2 linked regions of the Rattus norvegicus genome follow. The protein of the gene in region 1 interacts with the protein of each later gene in a pairwise test. Links are inferred from orthologs where the notes say so. Each region holds a gene or a part of one and is shown in the gene's direction. Other genes may lie near its edges.

The links.
Region 2: the proteins of Spa17 (region 1) and Myl6bl1 interact in binary tests that used the Homo sapiens proteins (3 or more experiments, as listed by UniProt). The two-hybrid records come from large-scale screens. The link is inferred for Rattus norvegicus from reciprocal best matches to the Homo sapiens genes SPA17 and MYL6B.

Annotation. Positions count from the first base shown.
Region 1 is NC_086026.1:45,502,235-45,510,298, reverse strand, and holds the start of Spa17 (sperm surface protein Sp17), read left to right. Parts: upstream 1-3,036; 5' UTR 3,037-3,069; intron 3,070-3,507; exon of another isoform or gene 3,508-3,643; intron 3,644-4,855; 5' UTR 4,856-4,882; coding exon 4,883-5,036; intron 5,037-8,064. UniProt on the Homo sapiens protein: Sperm surface zona pellucida binding protein. Helps to bind spermatozoa to the zona pellucida with high affinity. Might function in binding zona pellucida and carbohydrates.
Region 2 is NC_086025.1:1,496,170-1,504,389, reverse strand, and holds Myl6bl1 (myosin light chain 6B), read left to right. Parts: upstream 1-3,231; coding exon 3,232-3,469; exon of another isoform or gene 3,470-3,688; coding exon 3,689-3,832; exon of another isoform or gene 3,833-3,962; coding exon of another isoform or gene 3,963-3,994; exon of another isoform or gene 3,995-4,626; intron 4,627-4,802; coding exon 4,803-4,976; exon of another isoform or gene 4,977-5,302; coding exon 5,303-5,380; exon of another isoform or gene 5,381-5,430; intron 5,431-5,436; exon of another isoform or gene 5,437-5,493; coding exon 5,494-5,522; 3' UTR 5,523-5,775; downstream 5,776-8,220. Other genes in the region: Myl6 (myosin light polypeptide 6), read left to right, coding at 6,115-6,117, 6,362-6,389, 7,157-7,300, 7,537-7,710, 7,798-7,907. UniProt on the Homo sapiens protein: Regulatory light chain of myosin. Does not bind calcium.

The DNA of each region.
Region 1 (8,064 bases):
TAAACGTGATAGACAGGGAAGAGAATTAGAATTAACAAAGCTGACATTCTCTTCCCTGGAAGCTACAAAAGATGGCAGTCCCCTTAGGCTATTCTTAACAGGGAAGTAGAGCTAATGGGGGTCCCCTCACAAGCTTGGTGGCCTATTAATACTGCTCTTCAGGTAACAGGCTAACCCTAAGAATCCTCAGCTCTCTTTCTCACTCAGGAGCTAGTTCAATCAGGAAGCCTACATGACAATCAAAGATTATCCAGAAGGCTTAACAAGCTAAAGATGCATGTACCATGAGCAAACAACTCTAGGACCACAACATCCCAGAATTGCATAAGCAATTTGGCAGCCTGCTGGGGAAACCGGGAGGCATATGTGTGGGAGGGCCCTGTCTTGGGTAGATACAGAACAAAAGCTGAAAAGCAAATGCATAAATAAGAGCTAAGTAGAGAGAAGACTGGAGTTGGAAGGACAGAAGTGAGGAAAATATTGCTTACACAGGCAACAATGTTAAAGTCCATAGGATGGGGAATGCCTTTTCAAGCCAGTCAGTGTTTGCCAACATTCATTTATAGAACCTCTTTGTGAATGGATTTATGATGAGCGAAAAAAAAATCTTAGAGGTGGAAAATATCTTTATAATAATAGTATAGGGGTTGGGGATTTAGCTCAGTGGTAGAGCACTTGCCTAGCAAGCACAAGGTCCTGGGTTCGGTCCCCAGCTCCGAGAAAAAAAAAAAAAAAGAAAAGAAAAGAAAAGAAAAAAAATAACAGTATAATTATGTTACTTACTGATCAAGAGATATAATCTAACCACATTACCCGTCCAGGGACTAGGACACAAATAGATTAAGCAATTTTTAAGAATAATTAGAACAGCTATGAATTCAACAAATATCTCTTTATTGGTTCCTGATACTTTAACATTGAGACTGTAACACTGGAAGGAAAAATAATTCCAATAATAGATAGAAATTCTTGCTACCAAGGATCTTACAATCTACTAGGAGCTTACTTGTGTGACAGAGGGCTTAAGATACTGAAGACGGGCCTTGACTGGCCTCAGAAGGTAGTTTATGACAGAATTAGAATCCATGTCATCTAATTCCCAAGGTATTGCAATTTCCTTTTTGCTGCCGTTACATTGTGATAATAATGCAAAAAAAATTATATTCCCTATCCTGATGAAGCTCACATTCTACGTGGAAAAGACAAACATACTGAGGAACTGGACAATGAACAAAAGAACCGCACCTCAGAAACGCCAGGCATATACAAACGTGGTTATTTTAAGGTGTTGGATGTTTCCCTTCATTTTGTAACTTGAAGTGACAAACAAGAGTGAGTGCTGTGGAGAAGATACCATGATAAGTAGACTAACAAAAAATGTTAGGTTAGCAGTTACTTCTGAAGGGAACCCAGCAGACATACTAAGGAGGACTCTCCTGGCAGTCTTGATAAAAATCACAGTGTTACCATTCTCAAACTGGGTAGCGGAATTTATAGGTCCTTTCACTGTTAAAATGTAACAAAAATGTAGCAAAAGGAGAGAGTTAAAGGAAAGATGTTAGGATGTGCAAGAAAGAGCTAAGGGAGATGATCTGAAGCAAAAAATGAATGAATACTGCCAAGGTAATCAAGGAAGGTTACCTAATATGACCCAAAGGAAACAAAACAGTGATATTAAATTTGACAGCCCTTAAAAAGAAAATTAAGAAAACAGTGGCTCTACCTTCTCCCCACCTCCTGTGATAGGTCCCCAAAATCATAAGAGGATTGAGAGATGGGGACGATCAGTATAGGGTATTAGCTTTGAAATGGAAAACCCACTGACAGGCTGCTGTCTGGCTGGTGCTTGATTAGAACACAATCATGCCATTTCTTGTCATTTCCACCTTCATTTTAATTGCTGTGGTGATGGTAGCCCAAGTTCCTAGCATTCTAGCCAAGAGTTTTACCACCGAGCTATATTCACAACCCCTCAAATTTCATTTATTGACAGTCTTTGGGGTCTACTCTTTCAGTGATCCAAAGAAGAAAAGAGGTGGGTGGATCCAGCATTAACCCTTTACTTTGAATCAATAGATTCCTATCTTTTGGTAACTCCATGGGCAATGTCCAGCCCAGGTTAGTCAGATAACAAGTTGTGACCTGCACAATGGCCATGTGAATCAGCTCCCTCCCCAGTGTGATGAGTCTTACCCTCCACTAATATCTCTCAAGCTGCATCAAAAGTCAGAGCTGAACTTTAAATTATTCTGAGCTAGTGAGGGGGCTGTATTTCTTAGCCCTAATAACCACTTAAACTAGTAAAATGTAATTCCCTCAAGGCACCCATCCCGATAGAAGCCCTCCCCAAGGGCACCACTGAGGGGGCAGGTGTGGAAATATTTTGGATGACTCAGTCACCTGTTTCCAAATATTATCTAACTAGCTTCGCCCCCTTCTCTTTGAGCACTCCTAAAGGCTTCGGTCTGGGGACACTGGAGCCTGCCCCAGTGGGTAAACCGATGTCTTCTCTGCCTTCTATGCTGCAAGTGAAGTACCCCGCAAGGAAAAGGCAGTATAGCTGGGCCCAGCTGTACCCTGCGGCCAGGACTAGGTAGGGTAAGACCGGTTCTGACTCAAGGCCGACCTTTAAAGAGGACGCATGCCAAGATCCTGCAGAGGATCTGAAAGGCAAGCGTCCGCTAGAGTTGTGACACCTCACCTGCACCTCTGCTGACCCGCGCGATTATGAGCAGCAGCATTAGCCCAACAGGCCGGGGGGAAACCATGTTTGAGATGATCCTAATTTACCCGCTCTCAGGAAGAGCCCTCAGGCAGGAGGCGGGGATAAGGACAGAGGCGGGATCTTGCGTGGTGGGCGGGGCCTGGAAGGGTTACCCTAGCGGGCCCCACCCTCAAGCCTTCAGTGCGCGAAACCATCCGCTGTACGGCGCGGCACCGGGTGCTCCCCTCTCCTCCCGGCCGCCGTAGTTTAGAAAAAAAAAGAAAGGAAAAAAAAAGAAAAAACGGTTACCCAGCAACGAGATAAAACACTGGAACCATCCGCACCAGCTTGAAGAGAAAGAAGAGGTGAGGCAGTTTCCCCCACTCCCTCACCAATGTGGAGGCTTCGCCTTTTTCCTTCATGTCGTAGTCTCTCCCCATCCCCAACACTCCCGCAATTCCTGGACCAGATAGGGAGCCTGGCAAGCCCTTTCTGGGAGAACCTGGAACTCTAGGTCATCGACGTCCTGCCCACGGTTTGACCTGCCTTCCCCCTCGACCGTCCGTCCTCCCCCGCTTTTCACAACTCTCAAGATTCGATATCTAATCTCCTGTTTGTGCCCAAAAGAGAAAAAAGGGAAGAATCTCCACACGTTAGGCCTTGTTAAACCTTTAGACCTCCAGCCTCGACCCCAACCAGCGCCGCCTTTGAGCTTCTCGGGGTAACACAAACCCAGGCTCGAAGCTCTTTTGTCAGCCATGTTTAAACCAGTCCTCGAATAATAGAAGAAGGCCTGACAAGACCAGAAAAATAAGACTCCCCAAACTCCAAAAGCTGGCTCCCAAAACCACGACCTCCCTTTCTCAATCCCTTGTCGGAAAGCAGAGGCACTTGAAAACGTTGTAGGCCATAACTTCAGAAGTTGGGGCTGAAAAAAAGGTGAAACTATTCAACAAATTATAATAATTTCTAGAAGGACTAGTTTTTTTGTCTGTTTGTTTAGTTGTTTTTGGGTTCCGAGACAGAGTTTCTCTGCGTAGCCCCTGGCTGTCCTGGAACTCAACAAAGATCCACCTTCCCTTGCCCCCCAAGTGCTGGAATTGACAGTGTGCAGCACCGTGCCCCACCCCCACCCCCGCTAACCAGTTTGTTGTTTGTTTTTTTTTTTTAATTTTAGACTTTAAACAATGTAAAGGGGATTGATTATACTAGCTTCTCAGCAATCACTGTCTCTTCAATATTGTGGGCTAGCACAATCTACCCTCACCTTTTAAGGACAGAAAGACAAGTACTTAATATCTAGTGAAAATCATGGTTCTCTAGCTTTAAAAGTATGTATTTGTCCAATTTAATGGTTCTGCACTTATAGTACTATAATTCACCGAGCATGGAGCATGGTCTTTATCTACCAGGCTGGTTCGAATCCCAGCACTGGGGAGACAGAGGCAGATAAGATATATCTCTGAGTTAGAGGCCAGCCTGGTCTACATACTTCCAGAACAGCCAGAACTGTGTAGAGAGACTCTGTCAAAAAAAAGAAAGAAAGAAAGGAAGGAAGAAAGGAAGAAAGGAAGGAAGGAAGGAAGGAAGAAAGAAAGAAAGAAAGAAAGAAAGAAAGAAAGAAAGAAAAAGAAAGAAAGAAAGAAAGGAAAAAAAAAAAAAGAAAGGTTCAGTGGTAGAATTCAAAACTCTGGGAGAAGGGGTTGGGGATTTGGCTCGGTGGTAGAGCGCTTGCCTAGCAAGCACAAGGCCCTGGGTTCGGTCCTCAGCTCTGGAAAAAAAAAAAAGAAAGAAAAAGAAAAAGAAAAAAAAAACTCTGGGAGAAATGGGTACACTTGGTGGGATGGATTTTATATTCATTTATTTAGTGTGTATGTGTATGGGCACAGCCTTGGTGATACAGCCTTCCTATGGAAGTCAGAGAACACTTTGTAAGAGTCAGTTCTCTTCGTCCACAATATGGTCTGCATGGATTTAACTCAGATCTGCTGAGATAGATCACCAGGGCCTGGATTGTGTGACTTTTTTCTTTTTATAAGTCCAAAATATGGTATGTGTGTTTGAAAAAATGATTTGAGTCATGATGATGAATTGGTTTGTGATAGTTATGATTATGTAATTTAAATTAGACACTTTTTACTAAATCTTTAGGTACCATAGGCAATTCTTTCCGAGGAGATGTCGATTCCTTTCTCCAACACCCACTACCGAATTCCACAAGGATTTGGAAATCTTCTTGAAGGGCTGACACGGGAGATTCTGAGGGAGCAACCGGACAATATACCAGCTTTTGCCGCAGCGTATTTTGAGAACCTTCTAGAGAAAAGAGAGAGTAAGCTCTTTTTTTAAAAATAGGAATTTTAAAATAAACTAAGCATTTCATTATGGTAGAACTTAAGATTGAGGAATATACATGTCTTCAGCCTGTGACCTCCATGTACATGCAAACACATAACTAGTACTCCCCCAACACACACACACACACACACACACACACACAGAGAGAGAGAGAGAGAGAGAGAGAGAGAGAGAGAGAGAAAGAAAAAACTTAAAAATCACAGTCATTGTGCAGAAAACCTTTATGAGGCAAGTGGTTTCAAATACCGCTCTTACTATTTGCAACATGATGTGACAGTTCAGTCTCCAGGCCACTCACTGCATTTCTCACATCTGCAGTATGGAGGAAGGTAGACCTATTCTCATGCATCCCCTGCTAGCTGACTGCCTGTTCTTCCTGAGAGGATAATTTGCAGTTTTCTTTAAATTTTGATTCTTCTCATTTGAAAGTATTATAAGTGTTATAAAAATAATTCAACACTCCTTAGATTAAATAAATTGGGTTTCACTGGGGTATATGAAACTGTTCTTCAACGAAGGCACAGAAACAACCTGTTCTGGCTAGTGAATTGCCAGCTGGGGAAGGTAATTTACATTCTGTATACTTTCCAGGTCTCATCCTGCGGAGAGACTAAGGTTCATGGTAGCAGGGACTTTGATTTCCAGCCAAAAGGAAGTTCCTATACTCCCTTTCCTAAGTACGATTTCCAGATCCCAGCCTGGACGATTCATGACTATGAGAGTCTGGCCTAGAGGTCAAAAGGGGGAATGTTTATCATCATGTTTGTGCTGAAAACCTGCTCTTGCCTGGAACAGTCATGGTATATAAGGTTTGTTACTATTGCCTTAGGCAAAGTAGACTGGAAATACCCCTAAACAAACAGATGTTCCTTCATTAGTCATTTTACAGAGGGAGGAAACCCAGAACACAGGCTAGAATCAAAACAACTCACATACACACCGAACAGCTCCACCCACTGTCCCTTGTGATCCTGCCTTTGAAGAACTCAAAATTTCCACCAGTTTCCTGACTCCTGCTAGTCTGTCTCATATCCAATCAGGGTAAATATTTGCCTCACAATCCACAATATTAGTGGGGGAAGTTATTAAAATAAATTGATAAAAAGTAATGTTTTTATGAACATGAATTTGGTTATAACATTAATTTTTACAAATTCATGCAGTAAAAATCTTTAGTCGTTTGTTTAATTTTAGAACTCGGGAACATACCATTAAAAAATGTTTGAGTGATTGTCCCCAGGTCACAGTAATAAAAACAATTGATGATTAATAGCCTTAGAATATGAGTTCTAATAAAGAAATGGCTAAAACCATTTGGAAAAAAACACCACACCCACTTCCACTTACATCGACTGAGGGTGAGTTACCCACTGATACAGTATGAAAACCTAGCCTTCAGAGTAAAGGCAGATTAAATGATCGTGGACTTCTAAACCCACAATGTCCAGCCTCCCACACAGCAAGAATTCCCCTGTCACCATTTTTCACGGGTGGTTAGTCTTCATTCTTGTTACAGGAAACCTGTTAATAATATACAGTCTAAGTGGTATCTCAAATCATTAGGAAAAAATAGACTTCTTAAATAATATTAAGATCAAAATGAGAAAACAAATTGCATCCATTCTTTACATCTTATACCCCGATAAATTATAAACCAATTCCAGATTGAAATACTAAAAAAGAAACCATACAACCTAATGCTGGGAGAAATATACATCATCCCGTATGAAAAACATCTCACTTGCCAAGTTGCTTCAAACTCAAATGCAACAAGGTTTCTGGAACAGATTGATGGAGCTGACAGCAGAAGATGTCAGCTTGTATGTGACAAAGCAGCACGAAGAAACAAACTAACAAGCCGAGAAAATGCTTGCAGTCTTAGATCCCAGCAGCTCAGTGTGTTAATGAGCCTAATAAACATCTTGTAGAAATCATGTGTTTAACACATCTATACCAAGAGATAAACAGTTCATACAAAGGTAAACACGAATAGCTCTTAACATAAAAAGCTACTCAAACTGACCCATAACAACAATTCCAATCAAAATCACACAAAACTGGGCATATAGAGGTAGCTTGTGGGTTAAGGGCACTTCTGCGCTTCCAGAAGACCCAAGTTCAGACAGCACCACCCAGCTGGGCAGCTTATAACTGCCTGTAACTACAGTTCCAGGGGATCTGACTTCTGTTTCCATAGGCACACATGCACACACACACAAATACAGAAATGAAAAACAGAAGAAATAACACTGAACTACCCACAACCACTATGTCTTCTCAAAAGCCCAAAGTTGGACAGTATGATTTGTAGATAAGGCTAAGAGAAATAAGCCCTTATACTCATTCCTACTAGAGATGGAAAAATACATCCACAGGAAGAGGATTCTGTAGTATCTGTCAAACTTACATATTATTTAACCTTAAACCTCTACACATTTCATTATCCCATCACTTGTGATAATAGCCCAAATACTTTAAATTTTTGCACTGGCCCAAACAACAAGGCGAATCAGTCTTTAATTGTCTAAAACTGTAAATGAAATTGCAAACAAAAATATACCTTTCCTCTTTTAACTTCATTTATCAGAGGTATTTGTGACAGTGATGTAAGCTAATATAGAGTTACTCTGGAAACTTTATAACTATATAAGAGAATAAAGCAAATACGTGTGCTAGTATTGGGGATAAATTTGGAATGTAAAAATAATTTTAAAAATAGTTTATTAAAATTCTGTAGTTTTGAACTTGAATTTTGAAATATCAGTATGGTCTGTTCTCTTTTAAAATGTTACTCAGAGAATGAAGGCTCCTACTGAAAAGCCCGAAGACCTGAGTTCAACTTCCAAGACCCACATGGTAGAAGGGCAGGACAGACGCCTGCAAGTTGTCCTTTGACTTCCCACCATGTGCCAAAGCATGTTTGTGTACATATATACATACATACATACATACATACATACATACATACATACACACACACACATACACACACACACACACAC
Region 2 (8,220 bases), on another chromosome or scaffold:
CCTCACACATACACACCCCGACCCCTCTCATCTGTAGCCCTGGCTGTCCTGGATCTTCACCCACATAAAAATAAAACTTTGGGCTAGGCATGGTGGTGCAAGCCTTTATCCCCTACAGGGAGGCAGAGGCAGGTGGATCTGAGTTCCAGGACAGTCAGCGCTATGTAGACAGGCCCTGTCTCAATGAAAAAAAAATGTTAACATGTCTAATCATGAGAGTTATTTTACATGGGGGCCAAATGACAGTACAGGCTCCGCGGGGCCTGAAGTCTTGATCAGCACCACAGAGTACCTCGAGAGAGGTCACTCCCTTTATTAGTGTGCAGTCTGCGGAGCAGTCACCTGGAATATTGTTTCCTGTATCAGGTTATTCCTTTTCTTTCCGCTCTGAGACTGGATCTCACTTAGCCCAGGCTGGCCTGAACTCCCTACGTGCCCACTGACCTGTCTGCACCTCCTGAGTGCTGGGACCCAGAGCTCTATACATGGGGAGCAAGCACTTTACCAACTGCGCTACATCCCTTGCACCCGTACAGACCTTTTTACTCTTCGGAGTTTTCTCTAGCTTCTGGCTACAAAATTGGTTTATATCTCATTCTTCCTACGGTGCCGCTGGGAGTCTTCTACCCTGAGCTATTTCTGGTCCACTTTCTTGCACAAGCTCTAGGATGAGGCGCGCTGCCAGAGTTATTTATTTATGTGGTTCGGGACGGTGGGTCGGTTCCCTCTCTGCACCCAAACCTTCGGTAAACGCTAGGGAGAAAGCAAACACTCAGGCTGGGCAATGGTGTCGGAAAAGGAAGGAAAGGCTGCAGAGCCCAGCGCTGCATTTGTTGGGGATCTCCCGGGGACGAACGCGCTGCATAGGCGGCGTCAGCCGACGCCTGCACACGGAGGAAAGTCTGGAGCAGATGACCAGGCTAAACTGTAAATCTTAACATCTACCTCAGTCGCCAGCCTCTAGGCTTTTCGGCTAAGATCAAATGTGTAAAAAAATAAAATAAAAATGCGAAACTCTTCAAGTTACGTGACGCCGCAGCTAACGGCCTGAGGAAGCGAAAGCAGCCCCAGCCTCCGCCTGCCTACCGCCCGGCCCCGCCCCTGGCCTTGCGGGCGTCCCTGAGTCTGCATCCCTAGGGTCAAGGGTGGGGACGTCTCAAGCCCTTTCAATTCCGGAACTGGCGCACGCCTCAGTGTCTGAGTCAACAATTGCCACCACGGGCCGGAAGTGACCGCCAACTCTCACCACCGGGGGAAGGTTTCCTGCGAGCACGTGGGCGTGCGTGGACTACGACTCCCAGCATGCTCTGCGCCCGCCGCTGTTAACCCTTCAGGGACCGGAGCTGCCCTGAGTCCCGCCCCCCCACCTGCCCCTTCCTTGGAACCGGCAAGGTGAGTTTTGAGGGGCTGGGAGGGCCTTTTTCCTCTCTAAGGCTTAGGAGTGAGTGTAAGTGAGGGAAACTGGTGTGTTGTTTGCGGAAGGATTCCTTATTTTCCAAAAATGGGACAATTTGCAGTAAAAAGATTCTGACGCCTTTACAAATGGAAGACACACTGCCACTCTGTGAACTCCAGGGCCTAAGTGGAATGACCAGTCTCTCAGAATGCTACCTAAATCTTCTTTATCCAAGAAGAGAGTAGCCAGAACTCCCTTCCAGCTCCCAAACATCATCTCTTCCCTTTGCCAGCGCTTCCAGCAAGGTTTGTGACTCAAAGCTGAGCCAAGGTTTTTGTTGTGATCCTGACTGGTTGGGTGCCAGTGTGGATACCTACCAACTTCTTAGGAGATTCTGTAACCTTTTTGGGGTATTAGAGGGCTCATTGTCTCCCAGGGTCCTCTCCCTCTGTGTGAGTGTGAGTGTGTGTGTGTGTGTGTGTGTGTGTGCGCACACGAGCGCCTGCCTGCCTGCCTGCCTGTCTGTCTGTCTGTGTCTCCTCATCCTAGCCTCTTGTCTGATTTGAATAACATTGTCTTGTTGGAAAATGTTCCTTCTTTGGAATTATATGTGACAGATGCTAAACCTTGCCTACACTGGAACCCCTAAATCAGCATTAGGTGTAGGATTCAGTGGGTAATGCCATGCTATGGTTACAGTGCGGGGGTGGGGGTAGGTGGGGGCCCAGGGACTTCGAGTTCTAAAGATACAGGAATGAGCAGAAAGGAGTGAAAAGACCCCCTTCTCTCACCTTTAATGTTTCCAGAACATATTTTAAAACTTCCCACTTGACACTAGGTTGTTACTCTGTCCCGCCCCCATACCCCCATACCCTTCACACCCCCATACCCCCATGCCACCCCTAAGTCCTTGCTCTGCTTGGGCTTTTCCACAGTCTAAAAGTAATGAAAGCTTTTGTTTGCTTTTTAGTTTAGTTTTTTCTCTCTTCCCTTAGCTCCTATCTCAGAATCACTGGCAAACGTCCTATCGTCACCCTGGAGGTTACCAGTCCCTGTTCTGAGAAGTCCCTTGTTTCTTCCCTGTACCCTTAAAGAAAACATTCTGTTCAGCCTTAGGGGAGTGGTGTCAGGAGGAAGAATACTTTGGGGGCAAGAGCTCTTTACCACAGGCGGCCAGGGGAGTGAGGGCAGACAGGCAGAAGTTTCTTCTCCCTCACCCTTGCCAACTGGCTCCCTGTCCCCGCCGCTGCCCCCGCCCCTTGACACCCCAGACTCCCTGCCTATTTAAACAGAGATGGTGCCCCTGTCGGCACACTGCTCTTCTGCCACCTGACATCATGCCTCCCAAGAAGGATGCTCCTGTGAAGAAGCCAGCAGGACCCTCCATCTCTAAGCCTGCTGCCAAGTCTACAGCAGGGACCCCTCTAGCCAAGACCAAGGCCGAGCCAGCTGCCCCCCAGACCCCTGTGAAAACCCAAGAGCCCCCTGTTGATCTCTCCAAAGTGGTGGTGAGTCCTGGGAAGTGTGTGAATCTGGAAGGGGTAGTTCAAAGGTGCAGTGCAGCCTTGGGGATTGGGGACCGGGAAGATGTGGGAAGGGTAGGGAATGAATGAACCGCTAGAATGAGGTTGGGGCTCCCAGGCCAGGCCAGTTTCCAGGGGAGAGAGGTGCTGTCTGCTCCTGGCTCAGCTGTTGAACCCCAGGAGGGGAGACTGAAGAGGACAGACTTGTTAGACAATCACAGCTGGGGGCAGGGGTAAATTTAGCCTTTGTTCAGCCCCCAGTTATGTGAGGGATGCAGGACTGGGGTAGCGGGAGGGAAGGGAACAGGTGGTATGGGATTAACCCTGCTCCCAAGAAACCCTCCCCCTATAATTCCTCTTGGGGTGCTCCCAAAGCCCAGGGCTGGGAATGGGACTAAAGTGGCCGGGCTCCCAGCCTCATCCCTTTGGGCCCCTCCCCAGAAGTGGCTGCCAGTTGGTTGTGCTAGAGAGGGACTGAATAAGCCCTGTCATCTCCTCACCTGCCCTTTTTGTCCCCTACAGATCGAGTTTAACAAGGACCAGCTGGAGGGTGAGGAGAAGCCTGTTTCCTAAGCCCCATTGTCCAACACCAAACTCCTGGTCCGATTCTCTGTTCCCTAACGACAGTCCTGACCTTGAAACCTCCCACACTTGTCCTGTTCTCCTCCCTCCTGTGCCCAGCTCGAGCACATAATTTCTAAAGCAAACCTCCCTTCCGGCTGGAGGTGATGGGAATCCCTGGTCACATTGCCTTCTCCCTACATCTCAGAGTTCAGAGAGGCCTTTGAGCTGTTTGACCGAGTGGGTGATGGCAAGATCCTGTACAGCCAGTGTGGGGACCTGATGCGGGCCCTGGGCCAGAACCCTACCAACGCCGAGGTGCTCAAGGTCCTGGGGAACCCCAAGAGTGATGGTGAGAGGAACCTTGAGATTTGTGGGGTTTCCATCTTCTTGGTGTTGGAGGTTGAACACAGCGTTCTGCCCGTGCCACGGAGTGCCATTTCTAGCCAGCAACTTTCTCTTCATCCTGTTTTTTGAGACAGAATTTCGGTATCGCAGCCAAGAATGCCCTTGAACTCTGATCCTCCTACCTGTACCTCCTGTCTACCGCCCACTGGAGTTCGATTGCTCCAGTTTATGTGGTGCTGCTGGGTTGACTCCAGGGCCTCAGGCAAGACAGGCAAGCCCTTTATTATGGAAGTCCTTTTTTCTTTTTCCTTTTACTCAGGTTGGCCTGGAACTTACAGCAGCCCTAGTTGCCAGTTTTCTTTCTCTCTTTACACTTTTAATTAATATTCTTTAGATAGGGTTATTGGTATTATTATTATTATTATTATTATTATTATTATTATTATTATTATATAGGGTCGTCTCTACATAGCCCTGCTTAGCCTGGAACTCACTAGATAGACCAGATTGGCCTCAAACTCAGCCTGTCAGTGCTCAGACTGAAGGTGTGTGCCACCACACATGGACTAGTGTAGTGGTTCTCTCTTTGTGCTTTGCGTGTGTCCTGCCACTTCGATACATCCCTGCCCCCCCCCCCCCCCCCCCCCCGTTGAGATAGTCTTAAGTTGTTTTGGCTGGCTTTGAACTTGCCTGGTAGCTGTGGTTACAAGACTGCACTGCCGTGCCTGGTAACAGTATCAATTTTCAACAGACTTGGTAAGGTGACAGAGGACCGGGGTGGATCTCAGGACTCAAAAACTGTCAAACACAGGGAAGGAAAACATCCTCAGTGCTGAAAGGGATGAAAGTCACTATGTATAGTAAGGTTGGATCCCACACCTCAGTGATATCTCTCTCTCTCTCTCTCTCTCTCTCTCTCTCTCTCTCTCTCTCTCGCCCTCTCTTTCCCTCTCTCATCTCTGTCTAATTGCCAGAGCTGAAGTCCCGGCGTGTAGACTTTGAGACGTTCCTGCCTATGCTGCAGGCAGTGGCCAAGCACCGGGACCAAGGCACATATGAGGACTACCTAGAGGGGCTGCGTGTGTTTGACAAAGAGGGCAACGGCAAAGTCATGGGAGCGGAGCTCAGACACGTTCTTACCACTCTCGGTGAGGCAGGGCCCAGAACTGTGGGATGGAGAAGCAGGTGGACCTGGAGGAGCTGGTAGAGCCTAGATGTCTAGCAATGAGCCGAGGGCAGGGAACGTGGTGGGAGCCTCATGCCCTCTTTGCAAGCCACACTTGGGTGGATTTCATGCAAGTCTCAACCCCTGCAGCTCGTTTCTTTGTCTATCAAAGCTTTTAGCAGCTCCAAGGAACTGTTGATAAGTGCCATACAGAAAGACGACAGGGAGGGTGGGAGGACGAACCACCCTGAGAGTGGCTTGGACTAGTGAGTACGGGAAGGCAGAGGCTCTAACTGTGTTTGGGTTCAGGAGAGAAGATGACTGAGGAAGAGGTAGAGACTGTTTTGGCAGGCCACGAGGACAGCAACGGCTGCATCAACTATGAGGGTGAGGGGGCAGGATGACCAGGGGGGTGAGGAGTCTTGAGGGGGTTGGGAGTGTACCCTCGTTTACTCAAAGGTCAGTTTCTGAAGTCCTCTCCTCTCCTCTCGTGTGTGCAGCCTTCCTGAAGCACATCCTAAGCCTCTGAGCTCCGCAGCCCCTAGTGCCCTCTAGAGAGGCAACGATCCCGGTCAACCAGACAAGCGCAGGCAGTGCGTTTCCCCATCCGACTGTAGCGCAGCCGCCAGCGCTGGACAACTTTCTTTCTACCCCACCCAACTCCACCCCACCCCACGTAGAACCTGCGGGATCGGAAACTTGCCCCACCTCCTGTGCGGCCAGTAGTGCGTTCCTGCCACTAGGGGGCACTTACGGTTTTGAAATAAAAACATGGTTCCTGCTTTGGTTTCCGACTGGTTTCTTTTGAGGAAGGGGAAGGACGGGAGCGGTAGTCCTTTCTTCTGCAAAAGTCCAAATCCCCTGCTCTTAGTGCAGTTCGGAAGAAAGGCTTCCAAGAGTCACACCCTAGGCCTCCGCCGTGCTCCTGAGCAGAGTTGGAGCGCCCCCCTCACCTCATTATTAATATAGTGATGTCATCGGCATGAGCCCAAACTAGTATGCCTATTGGATGAAACTGCGGAGGGTGACGTCAAGCGCCGTGGGACGTACTAAGGTTGGGGTTGGGTCCCGAGTCGGAGCCATTACAGCCGGCAAAGGTCCCGCATAGCTCAGCAGCCAAGATGGTGGGCCCTGGGAATCGGGAGATTAGGGGGATTTGGGGCAGGGAGAGGACCGCGGGTGGGGGTAGGAAAAGCGGTGGACGTGGGCACGCCCAGGTTTTGGGAGGTTGGATGTGGGGTTGGAAGGTCTAGGGCTCTCTCTGCCTTGGGAAGCAAGTCCTCGGCTTCAAACAGAAGTTTGTTAAGCCGGGAGAGAAGTTTGCGGGATTGGACCTCAGTACTGACCAATCCCTTCTTCTCCGAGCAGTGTGACTTCACCGAGGACCAGACCGCAGGTAGGCAGTCTCTGACCCACAACTGAGGTCACCCTTACCGAGAGGGACCCCTTCCTCTAGATCCCAACCTGTCATCTCCAGCACTCCCAGGAGGGTGCCCCGTGGATTTCCTTCTCCTCGGCTCTAGATCCTCCATTTTCTTTCTCATTCTTTCTTCCTTCCCCTTCCACTCTAGATCTGAGCCCCAACCACTGGGTGAGTTTTGGGTGGTGTGGGTATGTGAAACAATGATTACTGCCTGTTGTGTGTTGGGTCTCTTATGCTTGTGTTCCGCTGCTTTTGCCTCTCCTGTGATAACTGCCCCCTCCTTAAGCTTGGATTGCCAATACGGTAAAGAGCAGTGCCTTGATATTCTGTTGAGATGGGGACTGGAGAGTTTGCTAAGCCCGTGGCTTAGCTTCACCCCCTGGAAGGTCTCTGGAAGGGAAGGGTGGGAATGGGAAGCTAGAGTCCAGACCACTGCTCTACTTCCTTATATGGGCAGGACCTAGCCTGGGCGGTGGCAAATTCCTGCCGAGCAGTGTAGTGGTGGTGGAGGGCCTAGCCTGCTGTAGCTCAGGGGGTGTGTAAGCGATGGCTACCACCTTGAGGTAAGGAAGAAGGCTGCGTGTCTTTATGCGGGGCATTTGAGTTGATAGAAATTAGATCCTTAGGCGCAGTCTTCGGTGTACAGGAGGACAAGATATCTGGTCTCTGCAGCATGCTAGAGTTGAGTTGGCAGCAGCACTGGGTTAATCCCTGGTGCTGCTGTTCATCTGAATCCTCAGAATTCAAGGAGGCTTTCCAGCTGTTTGACCGAACAGGCGATGGCAAGATCCTGTACAGCCAGTGTGGGGATGTGATGCGGGCCCTGGGCCAGAACCCTACCAACGCCGAGGTGCTCAAGGTCCTGGGGAACCCCAAGAGCGATGGTGAGCATTTCAAGACCTTAGTGGGTTCATGGTTGTTCAGGTAAAATCATCATATATGTATATGTACACACACACACGTATGTGTGTGTGTGTGTGTATGCGCCAACCTTGAGCAAGTTTTATCTCAGCCAGTTCCACTGATCTCCCTCTTCTGGCCAGTCAGTTGTGTTCTCTACCACTGTGTCCTGAGAACACGTGTGACTGCTCGTCTGGCACTTCTACCTCCCACACGACAGAGATGAATGTGAAGGTGCTGGACTTTGAGCACTTCCTGCCCATGCTGCAGACTGTGGCCAAGAACAAGGACCAAGGAACCTACGAGGATTATGTTGAAGGCCTTCGTGTGTTTGACAAAGAAGGGAATGGCACTGTCATGGGTGCTGAAATCCGTCATGTCCTAGTCACACTGGGTAAGGGTCTGTGACCATGTGGAGCTAAGCTGCCACCTTGATAAATTTCACCGTCATGCAGTTCTAAGAATGTTCCTTCCTCTGCAGGGGAGAAGATGACAGAGGAAGAAGTCGAGATGCTAGTGGCGGGGCATGAGGACAGCAACGGTTGCATTAACTATGAAGGTAAGGGGCACACTATAAACTGGGGCCTCTGAGGAAACGGTCATTCAGGGTATGTTAAGGAGGTACTGTATTCCTAGACTTGGTTCCAGAAGGGAGCCAGCAGTCAAGGGGCAAGGCTCAGGTCAGCCTGGGAGAACTGTTGGGGACAGACCTAACAGTAAAGGAAGGGGCGATAGAATCTGAAGGGTGGGCTAGGGATGGGAAGTGAACAGAATTGTCTGTCCCACTGCCTGACCCCTCACCCCATGTCTGTGTCTTGTCTTCACCATGAATGTCTCTTCCTTCTTGCAGCATTTGTGAGGCATATCCTGTCGGGGTGACGGGCCCATGGGGCGGGTACGGCTC